Linked DNA regions of Notamacropus eugenii. The protein of the gene in region 1 interacts with the protein of each later gene in a pairwise test. Links are inferred from orthologs where the notes say so. Each region holds a gene or a part of one and is shown on either strand. Other genes may lie near its edges.

Region 1 (10,859 bases):
CTTGACCATGCCTAGATCCCTCCCATAGTCTTTCTGGATATAAGATCCAACTTGCCTCCATGAAAGTGCGCAGATTCCATCTGGCCCTTATCACCAGGGCTCAGGTTCTAAATGGTTCACTTGTAAGTCACAAATGCACAGATTTCTAATGAGTCTACCCCAAATGGCAGACCTATAATAAACTTCAACTTCTGCTGGAAGAACGCTTGGCTCAATTTTTCCGGGAAGAATAGGGGCTTGCTATATCAGGTTCCTCACACCCCTAAACCTCAACATAATGACTTGCCCAAGGTCACATAGCAAGGAACAGTCCAGTGCAGGATTTGAACCTGGCTATTGTTGCTTCTACTGTGAAAACGTCCTAACAGCATTTACATCCTGCTTATAGACATATATAAAAATATTTATAACTGCTCTTTTTGTGGTTGCCAAGAATTGGAAATTGAGGAGATGCCATCAATTGGGGAATGGCTGAACAAGTTGTGGTATATAAATATAATGGAATACTATTGTTTCATAAGAAATAGTGAGTAGGCAGACTTCAGAAAAACCTAGACAGTCTTGCATGAACTGATGCTGAGTGAAGTGAACAGAACCAGAAGAAAACTGTACACAGTAACAGCAACATTGTGCGATGACCAACTATGTTAGACTTAGCCCTTCTCAGCAATGCAAGGATCTAAGACAATTCCAAGAGTTATGATGGAAAATTCTATCCACATCCAAAGAAAGAATTACGGATTCTGAATGCATATCAAAGCATACTAATTTTCCTTTTGTTGTTGTTGCTTCTTTGTTTTTTTTCTCATGGTTTTCCCCCTTTGTTCTGATTCTTCTTCCACAAAGTGACTAATATGGAAATACATTTAGTATGATCATACAACTATAACTTATATCAGATTGCATGACATCTTGGGGACAAAGGAGGGGAGGAAGGGGGAAAAATCTAGAACTCAAAATCTTATAAAAGCAAATGTTGAAAACTAGAAATTAATTAATCTAAAAAACAAAACAAAACAAAACTTTCATCATAACCCCAGTCATTTAGTCCTAGCTACAGCTCAGCCTAGCTGTTTGATTGAACTGACACTGGAAGTCCTTTTGCGTTATCCAAAGGTGAAGGATCACAAACAACCAGAAGACTCTGAATGTGCAATAACTTTGGATCAGAACAGGTGTCTGAGACCCTGCTATTCTCTGGCTAGGGGAAGTTTTGTGTTTGAGTACTCCATGGTTATGAAGGGCTAAAGAATTGGTTTTCTCAAATACATTAATAAATTAATTAAGTACTGTCTCTGGATGTAACAATTTTTTCAGGATTAAGGTCTTCAAAGTTAATCCTTAAAAGAAACCAGGGTTGGAGCTACCTCAGGTGCTTAACCAAGTAACTTGGTAATGATAATGTTTCTCATCTACCTGAGCAATAAGTAGCAAGAGATGGATAAGAAGCTGTTGTTTTCTCAGGTGGTGAAGAGGCATAGAACAGAATAAATAAAAACCTCCATAAGTGAAAGTAGTGAGGTAGTCAGATAGAGGTTGAAGAGGACTTCAAACCCATTTCCCTGAGAGGGACCTAGTTGGTGAACTCACCTTTACCTATGCAAGGACAGTTCCAATCCTGGGCTCTGATTCCTGGCTTCTAGCCAAGCAAAGACAACATTCTGCAGCCATCTCTTTTGAAAAGTGAAGTAATGAGAGGACTCCATCTTTACTCAAACACTTTCAAGAGTGTAAGTAAGGAGGATTTTGCTATCCTTCTTAGATTTAAGATCCATGGTCATTGCAACATCTAGTTTCCAGGTGTTAGATAATAACTCCCAGAATAGCTCCAAGGATTCTAGATAGTAGTTCCTAGAATCATAACGATAGGCAGTCCTACTGAGGCTATGCCATGAAATATGGGGTGACATAATTGGTATTTACTACACTTGTGCTGAATGATGATACTGCTAAAGCTAACCTGTGAGGCCACTGTTGGCAATATGTCTTCTTTGTATGTTACCCTATAAAGCAAGTGGGCACTGGTCAGTGAGTGGGGAATCTGTGTGTGTCTTGACCAATCCTCATCAAGGCTTGTGAGGATTTAGGGGAGTGCACAAGCTGTGCCTGTCTCGATTGACCCCATTGAGATGTAAGGGTAGTTGATTCCCCCGCTTATTGCCCGCCCCTGTAAGAAGGGTGATTACAGAATGCTGTAGGAGCTTGTGCTCCCATTATCTGCAACCCTTCTGAGAAGATTAGACAAGAATAAAGCTGATTATTAACACCTCCAAAAGTGTCTGCCTGTCTGACCAGAGCAAGAGTGAACCTGTTAGAGGCTGGAGTTCCCAACTCTAGGGTCTCCCGTGTGTTATCTATGAAACAAAGAGAAAAGGGAATTATATTGAAATATAAAAATACTGTGATATTTTCAGAAGGGTAAGGAACAATTTTTTTAAAAGTTTAATTATTTTCTCTCGTAGCCTCCCTTGAAATAAAACAGCAAATACAATCTTGTTATCACTTTTCCTCCTTATCTATGATATCACAATCAGGGAGAATGTCATCCTGGAACAGGTAATGTAAAGAAAAAAATTAGAAGGCAGTATATTTGGCCAGTGAGAACTCATAGTCTGATTATTCAGAAACAGGAGGGACTATCAACAATGACTCACATTTATGTAGCTTTATGGTTTTCAAAGAACTTTCCTCATAAAGGCTTGCTTGATGACTTCCAGCTTTTCATTGTCTCTAAGAATATATTAGTACTGAAAGGTAAAATGTATCACTAAAGGGAAATTATAACCTGGATTCACTAACCTCTAAGGATCCTTTCAATGTTAAATCTGTTATCCTTTGTATTTTTAAAAATAAATACTGTATTGGAAACTTTAAGCAATAACAAAATTAATGATTCAAATGGATATCTTTGAAAAAATAGGGCCCTTACCTAAGGTGGCCCAATTATAGTCTTGTCTTAGAGGTAAATTGATGGACTAGATAATATTTCAAGGTCCTTTCCAGTTTTATGATCTTACAAATGCTTATGGGCTTCATTTTTCTACTATCCAACAATGTATAGGTTATATTCCTATAGTCTACAGAAGAAGAAAAGCATGCAGGCAGAAACACTGTCAGCAAAATGTCTGAAAATATAGCCTTTAGGAGACATAAGTGAAGAAACCTTACCCATCTCAATCTAGAAGGCAATAAAGCATGCACTGGCAAATGGCCATGAAGACACTGGGGATAATTTCACTTGTCTTCTCAGACACACTGTGTATGTGTTAGAAAATGGTTTCTAGGGACTAGAATCCTGGGCTTCATCCCTTCCTCATGTAATAGACTCACTATCAGAATTCCATAGCTGATGCAAGATCCAGTGAAGAAGTTTAGAGTCAGGTTAATTGCCTCTAATAGGAAGCAGCATATGGGACCTAAAATTCAGAGATTTGGGTTCAAATCTCACGTCAGCAATTTACTAGCTAAGAACTTTCCTTTCCTCATCTACAAAATATTACTAATGCAACAGCATAAAGGGCAACTAGAACATTCAGGCTCTTGGTTCAAGGCACTTTGTGAGTCATTATCCAATTAGTAATGTGATTACCAGTGAGAAAGCATGCCCCCTGCACTAGACAGAGTATGTAATCAAAACCATAGTTCATGAGACTGGTGTGTTTATTTTTCCTAGGGCAATCAGAAGACATTGATTCAAGACATAAGATACTTAATTAAAAAACATAAAATAAGTGATGCCCAACTGCCCACCCAATGGTAATCACATTACTAATTGGAGAAGAGGCACATGCAGGAAAAATGTGTGAACCAGGAATAAAGAACATGTGTAGACAAGGAATATATGTTTTGGACCCCGGAAGTGTATTTTTGGCCACACTCTGACTTGAGTCTCTACTTGTGATGATCAGGAACAGTGTGAGGGAGATGACCGGTCCAGGAGAAGTAAGGGATCAGAGTTCTGGAGATTGTCAGCTATCATGAAGCCTGGGAGAGTAGTGACGAAAGGCTGAGACACCAACTTCTCTCTCCCAGTGCTGCCATTGTCTTCCTGTTATTCCCCTCCCTTATTCTCACTTTACAAACTATGAATAAGGGTGTGGTGGGCCCTTATCAGTTGCCTGAGCGTAGAGAAGTAGTTGGCTGGAATTTTGGAAAATGGTTGGATATAGTGATCCACGGAGAAGCAATCAGTTAATTTCTTTTCATCTTTGCTATAACAAATAAACTATGGGGCCATAGAGTGTTACTGCTAGTATCTTATGAATATCAGGGTGTGTAAGTAAGTCAGTCATTTGACTCTTAGGGAAAAGTCCAGATCTGAGAAGAGTGAAGCCATTGATTTAAATAATTTATCTGACATTTCTGGAAAACATATTCATACCATGCCCCTAGCTTCAGTGAAAACCTAGCAAACTCCTCTGTGAGTAAAATTAAGTCAACAAGCATTTATTAAGTGCCCACTATGTGCCAGGTACTGTGCTAAGTGCTGGGGATACAAAGAAAGGACAAAAACCCAAACCTAAACAGTACTTTCTCTCAAGGAGTTAAACGTCCCATGGGAAGGCAAACAACTATTACTAAGCCACTGTGCTAGTTCCAAAAGATACCTACAGGCACCAAGAATGAAACGATACCTGCATTTAAAGATCTCAGCATTCTAAAGGGGGAGACAAGTATATGTAATACACACACAAACACAATACTTTACCTTTATGCATGTAGTATGCACGCACACACACACAGAGCATAGAGTGCATAACTACAAACACATCGTAGTTCAACACAAGTTAGCTTGGCAGGAGGCACTGGGAGTGGGTGGACCAGCAGGGTGGTACCTGAGCTGTAGCTGGAAAGGAAGAGGGGGATTCTCCGAAGAAGCCAGCTAAGGGAATGCCCTCCAGATACGGGAAATGGCCAAGGCTCAGAGATTAGATAGATACCTAAGCCATCTTCGTGCTTATTACTGAGCAGAATGAATTTATTATATTGGAGCTTATTGAAAAGCTGGAAGGGAACTCAGTTCTCATCCAGGGGTTCTTACAGTGCACAAAATAAAACACAAGGCCAATTATACTGACATGCAGTTACAAAATTAATAACTGTTTATGGACCCCAAGATTAAGGATCCCCGATATGGGCGAAGCCTGAATCTCAGGCTGTGCAGGTGCCTTTTAGAAAGGGGTGAAATCCACTTCTTAGTCAAGCGCATGCTCAGTGGGTCTACATGTCAGAATTCAGGGAAATAAAAAAAAAAAAAAATCACTGTCGCACTTATGCGCATGCGTAATTTCACCATCCACGCCTTTTCTCCCCCCTAAATGCCATTAAAAAACAAAACAAAAACTTCACAAGCTTTCAGACACGGCCATCAGAGCTACAACCTGAAACGCATGCGCTTTAAGGTAGAAGAGGAGAGGCACTTGTCAAGGCGGAAGGAGAGGTTTCCTTTCTTTTTCCCTTCGCCTCTCCGCCTCCTGGCCACGCCCCCTGCCCTGCCCTCCCCCGAGCCTGCCACGTACGGGGCTCGAGCTCACGCTAGGCTCAGTGGGTCCAAGCGATTGGTTGAGCCTGAGGGCGATTTACGGCGGCGGCCGAACGTGACGGACGGTAGCCTCCTCCCTGTCGCTGTGGTGGCTTCGGCACCGGCGCTACCTTCAGAGACAGGACCGGAGCAGCAGGCGAGGCCGAAGGCACGGCGCCGGCTGCGGCCCCGACGAGGAAGGTATTTTTGGTCGCTCGAAACTGGGGTGCGCCTGCTGGCTGCCTCTCGTCTGTCTCAGGCCCACTGTGCGGGCATGCGCGCCGAGGCCTTGGTGGGAACTGGCTCTGGGCTGGCGGATGGGGGCGGGGGTGGGGCGCGAGGAGACTGGAGGGGGACGTGAGGCGAGGCGAGGGGAGGGAGGGGCACCCGGAACCGGCTCTGGGCTAGGGAGGGGCTCGAGGCGAAGGAGGGGGCTGGGACCCGGCTAGGAGCGGGCGTGGTGGTGGGGGCGGGACCCGCCAGGGGAGGGATAACGTCACGAGCTGGCTGCGGGGAATGGGGATGCGCGAGGGCTCACGCGGGGGGCGCGCGCCGCCGGAGCTGGGATAGAGATGAGCGGAGGAGGGAATGGGGCTGGGATCGGTCGTCTGTGACGTGGGAGCTACTTGTGGAGAGAAGGCATGGGGGGCGGGATGGCCCCCTTCCGTTTTGACTTTTGCTCCCCTCCCAACCCCCCGGCTGTTTCACCAAAGCGTAGTAGGCGCGTGAGGGGCGCTAAATTAATGGAACGGAATGACTGGGGAAGTGGGGGTGGGGGGGACAGCTCTTGCCTCCGGAGGAGCTTGGACAGCGGAGCCAGATCCTGCTGAAGACTGTCACCGTGGAGGAGGGCCTCGACCTTTGTGCAGCCAGCTCACCAACGCCTTTATTGGTGTTTAGGCATATGTTGCTTCTGTGAGCAGGAGTTCTTAAACCTAGGGTACGTGGACCCGTCTTCCCCCCTTCTTCCCCTAACCTCCCCCCCACCCCGTACTTGGAAAGACTTCAGAGCGTAAACGAGTGGAAGAGAAGAAAAAAAATCACCCGAATTTCTGTGTAATTGATTTCCTTTGCAGTCATACGCATTGTATGTTAGGCAGTTCAAAACATTTTTAGAAGATTTGTGGTTTTCACCAGAGTACCAAAAAGGTCCGTTGAGCTAGAAAAAGTTGTCAACCGTGAACAGCTGTACTTTGATCGTTTGAAACCGGGGTGTATCCATTGTCCTTGCAACTGGATAGGTATGCCTTAAAACATAAGTCTCATCTCACTTCCTTGCTCTAAAGCTTTCTGTGGCTCCTTGTTTCCTCTGGGAGGAAAGACAACATCCTTTGGTGGGATATTTAAAGCAAGTGATGACTTGTCTTCAGCCTTTATTAACAGACTAATTTCACAACACTTGCCTTCAGGCACTCTACCTATTTTCACTATTTCCTCTCCCACTGCCCTGACTATTTTTAAAGGTTTGTCCTCTGTCTTTAGGACAGGTAAGTGGTTAGTGGGTAGAATGCTGGGCCTGGAGTCAGGAAGACTCATCTTCCTGAGTTCATATTTGACCTGGGACACTTTACTAGCTGTGTTACCCTGGGCAAATCACTTAACCATGTTTGCCTCAGTTTCCTCATCTGTAAAATGAACATGGCAAACTGCTCCAGTCAGTATATTTGTCTAGAAAACCCCAAATGGAGTCAAAAAGAGGTCAGACATGACTGAACAACCTCCATCCCAGGAATGTTCTATCTTCTCACATTTGCCACTTGGAAGTTCCTAGCTTCTTTCAAGGCATGCCTGGAGTGACACATTTTACACTAGATATTTATTCCTCCACATATTATTTTCTTCATTACTTCATATATATATGTATATATATATATATGGATGTGTATATATTTTATTTGCATGTTTTATCCAAACTCCTTTGGAGCTGTTCTTCTTGTCTTTGAACTTTCTACAGTTCATCATAATAGGCATTATATTAAGTTAAATAATTATTAAATATTAATTATTAAATAATACCTATTAAGGTATTTAATAAATTGAAGAACCAATTCTTGCATTGGATAGGAAGTTATCTCAAAGGTCCTGAAGAGTATTAAAGCTAGGAAGAATAGAAAAGGTCATCTCTAGTCCAACTCCCTTATTTGAAAAAACTGAAACCCAGACAAGTTGTGACTTTAATAAAACAATAGCTGGTGAATGGCAGAGATTTGAACCCAAGTCTTCTGATTCTAAGTGTAGTTAAATTAAATTAAATACTTATTAAGTGCTTGATGTTTGATAGAATAAGAGTGTAGATAAAACACAAGGGGGGCAACTGTGGTGATGAGTGAAGTGACAGGGATAGACTTCAGACCTTTTTCCTCATAACTCCAAATCTACTTCCCACTGTACCATCTTGTTTCTTCACTGTGTATACCAGCTCTTTCTTCTTCCAGCATCATTGAAAGTTAGCTTGGTTCTGTACCTCAGAGAAAGGGTGACCTTGATGGGTAGGACTTGAAATTCAGTATTCTGATGAATATTGAATCCTGTTTCAAATATATGAGATCAGGCTTTTGTGTGACTGTGAACATGTCCCTTTTGCCTTCTGTGCAAAATAATAATAAATCTTTGTGAAATTGAACTAGGAGAATTCCTCACAAAGGCTTAGTAAGTTTTGCTTTCTCAGGTATTTTGTGGACTTTGAAGGGAGAATGATGTTGAAATGGGCTATTTGGGTTCGGCAGCAATCCTAGCTGCTCATTAGCTCAATAATAATACTACCAATTTCTTGCTGATGAGTCATGAATAGATAAGAGGACTAAACTTTATTCACCTTGTAACATTAGAAACATAAGAGTGGTTTATTTTCTTTTTGGTTGGTAAATTACTTTTTTTATATGCTTGCTGTGTGCCAGGGATTGTGATAAGCCTGGAGATACAGAGTAAGACACAAGACAGTCCTTGCTGTCAAGGAGCTCAGAATCTGACAGTTCCCTGACAACAAAGACAGCTATATACAAACAAGCTACATACAGGATAAATTGGAAATAATTAATAGAAGGAGGCATTAGAATTAAGGGGATTGGGAAAGATGGGATTTTAGCTGGGATATGAAGGAAACCATGCAAGATGAGGAAGGGGAGCAGCATCAAGGAGGGCGTTGTCACCAGACTGTAGATTGTGTGTGTATGGTGGGGGGACCAATTGTAAGGTATGAGAAGATTGGAAAGAATGTATGGAGGAGAAGGCAGATTATGAAGGACTTTGAGTGCCAAACAGAAGATTTTATCTTTGATCCTGGAGGTAATAGAGGACCATAGGAGGTAAATGAGTAGGAAGGTAGTATGGTCAGGCCTGTACTTTAGGAAGATTACTTTGACAGTTTAGTGGAGGATGTCTAGGGGAGAGATTTGTGGCAGAGAGTCCAGCTGCCTCTCTATTGCGATAGTCCAGTTTGAGGTAGTGAGAGCCTTCACTGGAGTGGTGGTCAGAGGAGAGAAGGGAGCATATGTGAGAGGTGTTATGAAGATAAAATTGGTAGCCTGGGCAACAGATTAGATATAGAGGTTGAGAGAAAGTGGGAAGTTGAGAATGACATATAGGTTGCCCTAGATTGCAAGCCTGATTGCCTGGAAGGATGGTGGTACTCTCAATGGTAATAAGGAAGTTAAGGGGAAGGGAAGGATAACGAAGTCAGTTTTAGACATTTTGAGTTTAAGATGTCTGTGGGACATCCACTTCAAGATATATGATAGGCAGTTATAGATTCAAGACTGGAAGTCTCCAGAGATTATGGTTGAGTAAGTAGCTTTGGGAATCATCAGCATAGAGATGCTAACTGAATCCGTGGGAGCTGACAGTTACCAATGAAATAGTATAGTGTGTCCTATGGGTCACCTATGGCTAACTGGCATAATCCAGATGAAGATATTGCAAAGGACCCCGAGAAGTTGTCATGTAGGAAAACCAGAAGATCTAGATAGAGTATCAGGGAAAGGTGATTTAGTAACTTTGGATTGGATGAAAGCCAGATAAAAGAGAGTTAAGAGAGTGAGAGGAAAACAAGTGGAGGCACTTAACTGTGCCTTGAGATGGCTTTCTCGAGGAGTTTAGCCACGAGACAGAGGAGGGAGATGGAACTAGCTGGGATGGACGTATCAAGTTTCGCCTTTTTAAGTATGGGGTAAACATGGACATATTTGTAGGCAGTAGTGAAACAACCAGTTGACGGGGAGAGATTGAAAAAGAGTGATGGGTGGGACGAGTGCCAGAGGCTGCAATCTTGTAGAGAAGATGTGTTGAATAGGGTCATTTTTTGTGCCTGGAGAAGGGTTTGACAGTGATGAACATGGGGATGGTGGCAGCAGGCATCTCAGAGATATAAGTTGAGGAGGGAAGAAGAAAAAATTCTCAGGGAATGGCTTCAACTTTTTCTATGACATATGAGGCAAATCTCAGTTGAGAGTGTAGGGGAAGGGGAAGCTATGGTAGGTTTGAGGTGGGATGAAACATTAAGGAAAAGCTGAGTGGGATAGTAGGCTAATTAGGGAATGTAAAAGGATTGCCTTGATGCAGTGAGGGCCTTTTTGGAATAATGTGATTAAGATTAAAAGTATGGCTCTCTCTGTTACTGAATGATGGAGGAGGAAGAAGAGCCTGGAAATGATAATAGGAAGCTGGTATTCCGATTCCCCTACCTGGATCAGCCAGTGACTGAGTCAGGGGAAATAAGTGAAAGTTCAATTAGTGATGGAAAGGGTGTCCAGGGAAACTGTGTCATCAGGAGGGAGCCAGGTCTCAGGAATAGCCAGAAGGTCAAAAGAGCGGGAAAGGAAAACTAAAATGGAAACAATTTCTGTTACCTACAGAGACAATATTATAGAGAGCACAATGAAAGGGATGGGTAACTTAGAGTGCTACATTGGAGGAGGTTGGATTGAGATTGATGGAAATAAGGAATGGGCAAAGAAGGGATGGATAAAAGGGTTTATATAAAGAGTCAGGGATACTGGATCACTGTGATGGACAGGGTATACGACCCCGTGGGAGTTTATCATTTCTAAATGGTTTCAGGAAGATTATTAGCACCATGAGGGGGTTAGCCTCAAAATGATGTCTCCTCAGGGCTTGGGCAGCTGTGATGGAATAGCATCATTTCTGTCCTATCCTTGCAGACAGGCCAGACCGGGAAACAGGTGGGAGGGTGCAGGAAGGAAAGGTGACTTCCCCATCCCTTCAGTAGGGATGCCCTGAAAGTGGCAAAAGAACAATCCAGGGGATCAGCATGGGATTGAATGATAGCTCTATTCCCATTCTGGCAATAAGAGACCAACCCAAGGGACTAGCATGTGATAGA
Region 2 (11,107 bases), on another chromosome or scaffold:
AGACGATAAAGCTGTCCCAGACACCTGATGTCTGTTTCTCTGCTACAGCTTCCTGGCCACCTAAAGGCATAAAATACATAGAGCCTAGGCTCCTATGACTTCACAGATTCCTGAAGATCATGAAAGTCACCATGTCCTTCATTATATCCTGCCCTGATGACATGCTTTAGGGAGATGAGGGAGGATTACATCCAGAGGAGGTAAGCGCTTCTGTATCCTTATTTCATAACCTTTCTGTGTTAGGGCAAAGTAAACTCCTTTTGTTTTCATCTCAACATCAGAGTGTTGTTGTTAGAACTGCTCTCAACAAATGGGAAATACAGTAGGACGTAAAGCCAGCTCAGTGACTGGTATGTTCCAGGAAGCCTAGCAGGAGGGCTAAGACTAGCATGATCTTCAAAATCTATTGGGGCCTGTCAGGGCCACACAAAGGTTGGAAGCAATTCCCATTTGGGGATTATGCCAGGAGAAAGAGAACTGAGCTGAGGCCAGTGTCCATATTAGGCAGCTAAGAGACTAAAATGGAAACCAGGGATTGAGGCAGAGACATCTCATCCAGAACTACAGCAGATTCCTAGTAGTGTACAAATTAAAAAAAGAGTCAGAACCAAACAGGACTCATCTACCCCAGCCAGACATGCAGCAGTGGGTAGGTCCATGGCAGAAAGTTCTAAAACCTCTAAAACCAAATGGAAGCTTTATCTGTAAGGAAATACTATTTGGGATAAAGCAAGGATGTTCATTCTCAATACCTATAATTCTAGAAATGCAAAATATTGCAATTAGACAAGAAAAAGAAATTGATAGAATACACAGAGACAAGAAGGAAACAAACACCTTTTTTTGCAAATTATATGTTGGTTAGTAGAGAACCAACTAAAATTATTAAAATAAGCAATCATTTTAGGAAAGTAAAAGAATATAAAATATATCCAAACCTCATAAGCCTTTTTTATAAATAGCCAACAAGACTTTCAAGGAGAGATAGAAAAAAAAATTCCATAACTACAAGACTGAATAAATTATCCACCTACTAAGAAACACAAAGGAATTGTATCAGTATAAAATTCTCTTCACTGTAATAAAGTCCTAAATAACTGGAGAGATATCAATGGCTCATGGTGAAGCCATGCTAATGGAATAAAATGACAATACTGCCTAAATGTATTTACCTATTCAGTATGAATCAATCAATCTAACAAAAGATTACTTTACAGAGCTGCAAAAATAATAACAAAACTAATTACAATAATTAGATGATATTATCAAATGATAATAATTAGATGATAAAACAAATTAATTAATTAAAATAAAACTATACAAATCATATAATTATATAAATACATATAATATATAAAATAGTACCAAAACTCAAGAATCTCAAGGGAAATAGTAAATAAATGTATATGCATGTATATACACATATTTATACACATATTTAGAGGGAGAGCTTTTATTTTCAGGGGTGGGAGAGACTTAGAGGGTGCAGTAGTGATAGAGATACCAAAAAAAAAAAAAAGATGATAAATGAAAGAGAATTAGAGAACTATTTCAAAAATACATAGGGGAAAAAAAGCAGAGACAAGTTCAGAACAAGTCATGGATAAGGAAGACAGTATTGACACTGCATATTAAATTTAACATATATGTAATGGAGATTTAAAGTCAATTGCTGTTCATATTATTCATGTTGGGTCATCACTTTTCTCTTAATCTGCTGCTGGTCCATTTTCCTAAGTTAGTCTTATTCCAGGTTTTAAGGTAATCAAGGAACATATTAGAATATTTTCACCTCAGTTACCAAAATTGCTCAGTTCTCTTGATACCAGTCTATTTCTGCACTTTCTCCTTATTGCTGCTCTGGTATGTAGAAAGGGGTAGAAAAGAGGAGGAAGCTATTTACCCTAGCTACAATATCTGCAGACCTTTTAATGTTCATAAGTTTGATGCCAAAGGAAGGAAACATCCAAGGGAGACAGTCAGCCAGAGGTCCCAGTACAAGCCCTTGAGTTGAGTCCTATACTCCATATGGAAAGTAGTGGTTCCTGCCAACATAAGGTCAGGTTAAGGACTATCATCCCCACCTCAATGAGATCACATCTTGTCACCTACAGGGTGGGTAAGGGAATTTGAAGATCTACGCTGCCCCTTAATAGGCCCACGTGACCTGCTTTGAACTCCAGCCAGCCCACAGCTTGACTCACATGGAGCTGATGGTGGGAGGAGCTTGCCAAATGGGTGGAGCAGGAAGGGTGAAGCAGGAAGAGAGAGTGAGGTAGAGCTGAGAGAGAGAGCAGGCAGAGCAGAGTAGCTAGGGTGAGTGAGAGGAGTGATTTTGCCTAAGGGAGTTTGTTTTTGGGGAACCTAAGGGAGTTTGTTTTGGGGGAGGCCTGCTGGAGGGAAGGCTTGGAGATGACTGTACTCCCTGCATTGATAATGTGTATAGATTTTTGTTACTATGATGGATTTTGCTTTCTGGCATCTGAATAAATGTCTTAGTTTTGTCTTTGAGGAAGAGAATTCAAATTTTGCGAATGTGCCCTGGAAGTATGCATGCATATCCATAGTAGCTGTTGTGGGTATCACATTGATGCTACAGGGTAGTATACAAGATCCAACCAATACTCTAATCCAATGAACATTTATTAAGTACCTACTATGTACCAAACACTATGCTAAGCACTGGAGATACAATTAATAAAAAGAAAGATAGTCCCTGACCTCAGGAGTCAATAATCAGAAGGGGGAAACAACATACAAAAGGAGTTACGATTGTGGTGGGGAGGGATTTGGGAAGGGAAATAGAACACCACAGGGTACTCAAGACAGCCTCTTGTTTTGTGGAGTTGAAACCAGGCAGGGTAGCTCAAGTAAAGTGAAGTGATCTGAGAGTCCATTTTCCGACCTCTATAAAGGAAGGCATTGGGAAGAGTTTGATACTCTGTCCTCAAACCTTCCAAACAGAGGGGAAAGGATGCTGAGGGAGGTGTTGTCAAGAAGTCTTGAGTTAGCAGCATGGTGGTGAGTTTAGAAGCGATAAGATTATCCTGAGAGGGACATCTTGTTCCATGGAGTTGAAGCAAGGAAGAGCAACGGATGTAAAATGGAGTGAAGGGTCAGATCTCTCCTCTTCTCCTAGATGCTACCCAGTGTAATGTTTGTCCAGCTAAGCAGCCAAAATGATATATAGCTAGAAGCTGGCTGCTCAAATTCCCACAGGATCTGTGGAAATTTGGGCTTTAAATACTGGGGAGCGAAGAGGGGAAAGGCATGTAATGCAATAGAATCATAGATTTAGAGCTGGAAGGGACTTCAGTGGCCATGTAGTCCATTCCTCTCATTTTACATGTAACTTAGCTTCCACTCAAGTCTGGGGTGGTTTTGCATGTTTCAGTGGGAGACATGACTTCTGACTGACAGAATGTTGAGCAAAAACCTGTGAATATATTTGGTTCTAGACATGCCTCAGAGACTCATGTGGAGAAAAGACCTCCTGAGAGATTATGAAAAATGAAAGCCTTTGAATAGCAGGCTGTAGCCCTCCAAGTTTTACACATGAGATGCCAGTCCCATCATGTTTCTCTATCTCTAGGGCTTACAACTCAAGTTAACAAGTACTAAATAATCACCAACTATGTGCCAAGGCCCTGTGCTAAGCATTTGGTGACTTCTGAGATATGGCATCCCCAGACTGTGATCGTTCTCTTCTGGTAGTTAGTACCTCTTACTCCCAACTGGAAAACTCCTTTAACAGATAGCTCTCTCTTGGCATAAATTTGTATTTATTAGGGCTCCAGGCTGGCTTGTTTCAGACTCCTGGCAGCAGGGGTCTGCACCCAGGCACTTGGGCTTCAGGGGGCAGGGTCATGCAGAACCCTGAGAAAGGAGTGGAAGGTCTGCTGAACCACATAAGTAAGAACAGTTTGTACTCGTTATTTACTGGTATAGTTTAATCTATAAAAATTTTTTTTGCTGTTTTACTTGGATAAATGGGTTGCTGATTATTTACTATTTATGTTGGTCTTTTGTGTAACTAGGATTTGATGGATGTAGGCTAAGCTGGTGAGTGTAGGATAAGGCTTACCCTCCCCAATAATAATAATAATAATGATAGTTATAATTATTTGGTGCTTTAAGATTTGCAAAGAGCTTCACAAACATCTCATTTTGTCTCACAATAACCTTAGAAGGTTTTATTATCTCCATTTTACCAATGAGGAAACTGAGACAGAGAAATTAAGTAACTTGTCCAGGCTCAGCCAAAAAATAACTGAGACCAAATTTGAACTCAGATCTTTCAGACTTTAGATTTAGTGCTCTGTCCAGTGTGGTAATGAAATTTGTGCTGAGTCAGTCTGAGTGACCCCATTTGTTCTAGTCTGGCTTGTTTTCCCAGTATGTGTCAATCAGTCTTTTGGGAGAGGTAAACCAGTTTCTGGGAGAGAGGAGAGATGTACTTTGATCCCATCTCCTTGTCCTTTGTATTGGGCTAAGTCATCAGGAAGCCACATGTGCTTTCATCTCACCTTCTTTTGGAAACTTGTACCTATCAGGATTGTCTTGCTCTTATTTCAAAAAGGTGTCTATAAAAGCAACAGGGAGGTTTGAAATTGGCACCTGGGCTGCACAAGGTGTTTGCCTCCTGTGCTATAATAAAATTCTTTTTTTTTCTGTTTTTCATTTTCCTGAACTTGTTTGATTCATTAGGGATTTCCTTTCAACAATGGCACTTATTTGGTATTTCATGAGTAGCAGATGGATAAAATTCTAGTCAAATACCCATCTTGGAGACTGAAGGAGAGATTGCCTGCTCTCTGGGTTTATAGATCCTACATGCCTTTCCTCCTTTCCCTTACCTAAACGCAGTTGGTACAGGTACAGCCTTTCTACTCTGACTACAGAGCAAGACCTCAGAACATATCTATCCATGCCATTTGCTGAAAGGTTGTTTGTATTTTAAAATTTTTAAAAATAATTAATTTACCTAGTTTTAGTTTTCAATGTTCACTTCCATAAGATTTTGAGTTTTAAATTTTCTCCCCATCTCCCTCCTCTCTCCTCTCCAAAAAGGTGTGCAATTGGATACAGGCTCTAGTTATACATTCACTTCAAACATTTTCACATTAGTCACACTGTAAAGAAGAATCAAAACAGCAAACAAAAAGGAGCAAATAGCATGCTTCCATCAGCGCTGTTCTTTCTCTGCATGTAGACAGCATGAACGTGAGCCTTTTGGAGTTGTCCTAGGTCCTTGCATGGCTGAGAAGAGCTGGGTCATCACCATGTTCTCCTGGTTCTGCTCATTTCACTCAACATCAGTTCCCATGAGGCTTTCCGGGTTTTTTCTAAAGTCCGCCTGCTCATCATTTCTTAGAGCCCAATAATATTCCATTACATTCATATACCACAACTTGTTCAGCCACTCCCGGATGGATGGGCATCTCCTCAACGTCCAGTTCTTTACCACCACAAAAAGAGCAGCTATAAATATCTTTATACACGGGGGTGTTTTTATGATCTCTTTGGGGTACAGTGAAAGGTTGTTTTAAGATAACCTCCACGAACATATCTTCCATGTAGGCGTAATTTATCCTCATATGGGGAGGAAGCTGAAGCTCAGGGAGGTGAAGGTAGGAGAATCCCAAGGGCTGCTGCTTTTTCTGTGGACCCCCAAGGTGCCTCTTCAAGGAGGAAGAGGGAAGAGTCCTGGAGGTAGATGCAGAGAATATTGTCAGCATACCTGAAGCGCTTTACAAAGCACTTTACTCATGCTACCTCTTTGGAGGTGTTACCATTATTTCTCATTTTATAGATACACAGGCTAGCTAGTGTCTGAGGCAGGGTTTCAACCCAGTCCTTCCACCACCCCCCACCCTCCCCAGCTGGTTCTGAATGCAGTGCTTCTGGGATCAATAAACTGACTTGGCAATGAAGTATAGGTAGAGGGAACCTAATCAAGCTCTTTGTTCAGGCGTGACCTTTAAGAGGATTGGACGTTAGAGAACATCTAACCAATTCTCAAAAAAAAAAAAATTGAACCAAAACCCCACCACCCTTCACTTTCAATGTGCGTCCATGTTTCTCCCTGCAGCTTTCCTAAGTCTAGGGGATCAACAGAACAACGAAACCCAGCCCTGATGCGCAGCCTCGATTCTCAAGGTACAGCCGCTGATGGAAATTTTAACAATGGCTTTCGGAGAAGCCGGTAGCAGCCGGTTCCAGCACAGCCCAAACTGGATTTGCAGTCTGTCCCGATTAGGGCAGGAATTTCTAGCCCCACCCCTCCGAGGAGCCCGGTTGTCGTCAGAGCCCCGCCAGAAGCTGGGGGGGGGGGGGGGGGGGCAGGCGCAAGCGCACTCGCTGCCGCGAAGCTGAGGACAGGCAGTCGTAGCGGCATTGCCCGGACTCCTAGCTCCCAACCCCTCCCTCGGGCCTCCCCGGGGAAGGGATGTGAGGGTGGGGAGAATAGAGTCAGCGCAGCGGAGGGGGCGGGGCCAGCGCCGAAGCCAGCGCCGGCGCCGTACGGGCCGCTTCCTCTTCCGGCCGAGGGGGAGGAGTCGTGTGCTCCCGCTGCCTCCGCCGCCGCTGCCCGCTGCTGTTTCTGCTTCCTCTGCTTTCTCGCGCCCTCTTTTTTCACCCTTCGTCATCAGCGCCTCCTTCCAGCCGTCGTCACTTCTGGCCTCTCGGTCTGGGGTCCGATCCTGTCTGGTGAGGCCTCCTCGGAGCTAGGTGGGGGTGGGGCGCGGGGACGCGGTTCTGGCCGGGCTGAGGGGCTCGAAGGCGGGAGGCGCGCCGTGGCGGAGCTCCATCCGCCGCCTCTCTCTTCCTCTCGGCCGCGGGGGACTGCGCTTCGGTTGAACGTCGGGGTCGAGCTCCAGGGCCGAGGTGGGGCGGGGGAAGAGAATTAATTGTGGGGCAAGGCTGGGGGGGAGGGGCGGGGCCTGGGGGGAGGGGGAGAGGTGTCACGAGCGGTGACGTTCTAGCCTTCGTGACGTCAGAGGCACGTCTAGGCGGAAGGTCCTGAGCAGGTAATTTCCCCTCCCCCCTTCCCCTTTGTAGAATCCATCGGGTAAGGTCCCTGGCCGCGACCCAGGACCTGCGGCTCTCTTCTCACTTTGCCCTTCCCCTCAGGTACTTTTTGTTTATTCCTCTTGTGCTGGGTTTGGGGAGGGGGGAATTGGGGGACTGGTGAGTGGTGTCCTTGGCATATCGTGGCCACCGTGCCCTCCCTTTATCCATCCCCTTGCGGATGCTTAGATGCCCCCTACCCTTAGCTTTTGTAGCCAGTTAGAAATAGAAAAGGACTCATTCTGGGAAGCAGTTTTTTTAAAAAATTCATATTTTGAATTGTTCCTAGTTTCTTTAGATTCTCTTCGGATGTTTTAATAACCCATTACCATCAACAAGTAATGTAGTATTTTGATACCCTCGATTTATGAGACTGTATTAAGGGCTAGACGAAAAGAGCTTTCAGTTTCTTTATTATCCTCTTTTGAATTTGAAGGGTTAGCAATTACATGTTCGCAATCAGTTTAATCATTGATCTTTTCAACTTTGTGTACGCAGCACAGATAAAAATATAAGTGATATAAAGGATTTACCATAAGTCTTAGTGTAATCTGTTAAAGGGATTGAAAATGTACAAAGACTTTTGGTACACAATAAACATTAAGCAGTGTTCTTAAGAGAATGTCGGTTTCTGTGGCTGATGGGTGCCAACGATGGTATTTCATTTTTATTGTTATCCTTTTCTGCAATTTACCAATATATTCCTCCACTCTCCTCCCGCGGGCTATCCCTTACAACAAAGAATGAAAAAGAAGAATGAGCCAAACTCTTCAACACATCAGCCAAGTCCAATATGACATGCACAATTCCACACCCATAACTTTTCTCAGTTCCCCCTCACCCCTAAGAGAGACAGGTGCATTCTCATATTTACTCTTTGTGGCCAAACTTCATCATTACATCATTTAACAGAATTCAGATTCCTTTGCTGTTCCTTCCATTGTTTTACATATTATTTTCTTGGTTCTGCCTACTTCATTTTATATCAGGTCATGTGCCTCCCTATGCTTCTCTGTATTTATAATATTCTTTTCTTAAAGGCAGTAACATTCATGTACCACAATTTAGCCATTCCTTAGTTGATGAGCACCTTGTTTTCACTTCTTTGATAGTCTGAAAAGTAGTGCCATAAATATTTTGGTGTTCATGGGATCTCTTTTTATTATTTGTCACTATATCTTTGACCAATCTCTGGGTCAAAGGTCAAGGCCTGTTTCTTAAATTAACTTTTAAACTAGTGTTTCTTAAGCTGTATTTTCCACAGAACTCTGAGATTCTGCCAAGAATAATAGCTGTGAGGGAGATTAAAAGAAGTTATGACATTAAACAAAACTTTATGCTTCCAGCTTGTATCAGGGTACATGTAATTAGAAGATACTGAAAATTCAGTTTTCTAGTAGTGTTATATCTAACATTTGACTTAAATCCAGACTCAGATACTTAATAAGTACTTAATAAGATACTTAATAAGTGAGCCTTGGGAAGTCATGTAACTGTTGTTTGCCTCAGTTTCCATATCTGTGAAATGGGGTTACCATCTACCTTCCAGGGTTTTTATGAGGATAAAATAAAATAATATTTACAAAGCACTTTGTAAATCTTAAAGGTCTATGTAAATGCTTACTGCAATGACATTTACACTCTGTCAGTATCTTGACTACTAAAGTAATTGATGTCTTTGTATTCTGTAGATTTTAGCACCACTGGTCATTGTGAATAATTGGACAAAATTAGGAAGCCTACAGAGATAGGAAATCAAAAATGTTAATAACCAAAACTCAGAGGATGAAACAAGCGTCCATCAGCTTCATTGGCCCAAATACAGAACAATGCAAACATGACAACAGCTGCCTACTATTTGGAAATCTCAAAGGATAGTGTGTCTTATGTTACCACTTTTTACAAAATTGTTTAAAAATTAAAACATGAATTAAAAGAATGTTCATGTTTTTTAAATTAAAAATCTGATGAATGGAAATAGCCCTCTGGACTACTGAAAATTATTGTAAAAGCATCTTTCAGAGATAAACTACCCCATCCACTACTTTTCCTAGTTACAGAACACTGTTAACAACCAACCACATCCGTTTCACTAATAGTTTCTGTGCCCTGGTTAGAATGTGAATAAAAATGGACTGAAAGTAGGTTTTTTGCCCCTTTTTTTATGCTTCTTAGTATCATTACTAACATTTTTTAGGCTACTTTATAAATCCTATCATAAAGTTTCAGCTCAAATTTTATTTTAAAGTGAAAGGTTTTGATACTTCCAAAAGATCAGGACTAGTGCCTTAGAAAAGCACTTTGTATTGAAAAACCTCTATATGTTGAGGAAAGTAATTCTCTCCGGATTCCTTTCTTCTTGGAAAGGAATTCTAAACCATTTTTGTGTCATGAACTTTTTTGTCAGTCTGGTGAAACCTGTGAATCCCTTTTCAGAATATTGTCTTTAAATGCATAAAATACACGGGATTACAAAGAAAACCAACTTTATTGAAATAGAGTAATCAAAAATTTAAAAAGTTCATGGATTTCAGATTGCAAACCCTACTTTAGGACTTTCTTAGCTTGAGCTCTCATTTTAACATTATTAACTACTGTTGAAGGTGGATTTAGAACAGAGCTTAATATGTATTAAGTATGAAATTAAAATGTTAAGAAAGCACAATCAAAATGCTGAAATAATTCAGCTAAGTAAAACCAGTTCAGTAGACCTCTATTAAATGCCTACTAGGATCACAGATCTAGAGCTGGAAAATGGCTAAAAAGCCATCTAGTCCAACCCCTTCATTTTACAAATGAGGAAACTGAGGAGTCAGGGAGTTTAAGCAGCTTGCCTAAGGTCACACAGTAAGTAAGCATCAGAAGTGATATTTAGATCTAGGTTCTCTAGGTGCTAGGGACACTTGCCACCCCCACCCCCCCAATCGTTTTCTCCAAGGAGCTTATAGTCTACTAAAAGGACATAAATTTACAGAGGTATGGTAAATACAAAAGAATTTGAGATTGTCACCAACCAGGAGCATTTGGAAAGTCTTCATGCTTCCTCAGCTGAACTTAAAGGAAGTTAAGGTTTCTAAAAGGCTGAAGATTATTATACGGTCCCAGCATGGAGAATAGGCCCTTAATCACCTCATCTGGACTATTGCAATAGCTTTCTCCACTCTCTCTATCCTCAATTCAACTGCCACGGTGATTTTTCTAAAGTATTGGTCTAACCATGTCACATTCTTGCTCACTGAATTCCAGTGCCTTCCTGTTCCCTCTAGGATCAAATATAAACTCTTCTATTTGACATATTAAGCTCTGGCACCTTCCTACTTTTCCAGTCTAATCACAGTTGACTTCCACACATTCTACCATTCAGATACACTGGCTTTGAACATGACATTCCATCTTCCATCTCTTTTTTGCCTTTGCACTGGCTGTCTCATGGCTGGAATGCTCTGCCTCCTTACCTTTGTATATACCTGTATATTTACATGTTGTCTCTTCTGTTAGAATATAAGTTCCTAGAGGTCAGGGACCTAATTTTGCCTTTCTCTTTAACCCTAGCATTTAGTATGGTTCTTGGTATATGACATTTAACAAAATGCTTGTTTATTGTGGAGTCAGGGAGATAGGTGATGAGAATTTTTGAGGGTAGGGACTGTTACTTTTTTATTTGTATGCCCCGTGCCCAAAACAGTGTTTGATATATAGTAGACTTTCAGTACGATTATAGATGCTGTCTCCTGTTGATGGAGTGATTAGTGATGTAGTAGGGAATTTCTTTTCAAGCATGGGTTGGAATAGATGGCTTCTAAGATTGCTTTCAACTTCCAGAGTTTGTAAAAATGTGCCCCCAAAACAAAAGAAAACCAGAGCTATGGTGACACATTGGAATACCCATAAGTAAATAAATGTATTGGTATGTGGTTATAGTATTAAAAGAAATAGTGACTGAATTGTCATCTTTAATCAGTGCAATAGGAGTTTTTAATGTTACATGTAATATAGTATGTTTCAGAAGAAATTTGTATTGTCTTTCTAAATTAGTCTC

What was found.
Region 2: the proteins of TFG (region 1) and MAPK1IP1L interact in binary tests that used the Homo sapiens proteins (3 or more experiments, as listed by UniProt). The two-hybrid records come from large-scale screens. The link is inferred for Notamacropus eugenii from reciprocal best matches to the Homo sapiens genes TFG and MAPK1IP1L.

What each region holds. Positions count from the first base shown.
Region 1 is NC_092876.1:369,382,384-369,393,242, reverse strand, and holds the start of TFG (protein TFG), read left to right. Parts: upstream 1-5,590; 5' UTR 5,591-5,722; intron 5,723-6,006; exon of another isoform or gene 6,007-6,461; intron 6,462-10,859. UniProt on the Homo sapiens protein: Plays a role in the normal dynamic function of the endoplasmic reticulum (ER) and its associated microtubules. Required for secretory cargo traffic from the endoplasmic reticulum to the Golgi apparatus.
Region 2 is NC_092872.1:333,131,420-333,142,526, reverse strand, and holds the start of MAPK1IP1L (MAPK-interacting and spindle-stabilizing protein-like), read left to right. Parts: upstream 1-6,568; 5' UTR 6,569-6,708; exon of another isoform or gene 6,709-6,885; intron 6,886-7,059; 5' UTR 7,060-7,131; intron 7,132-11,107.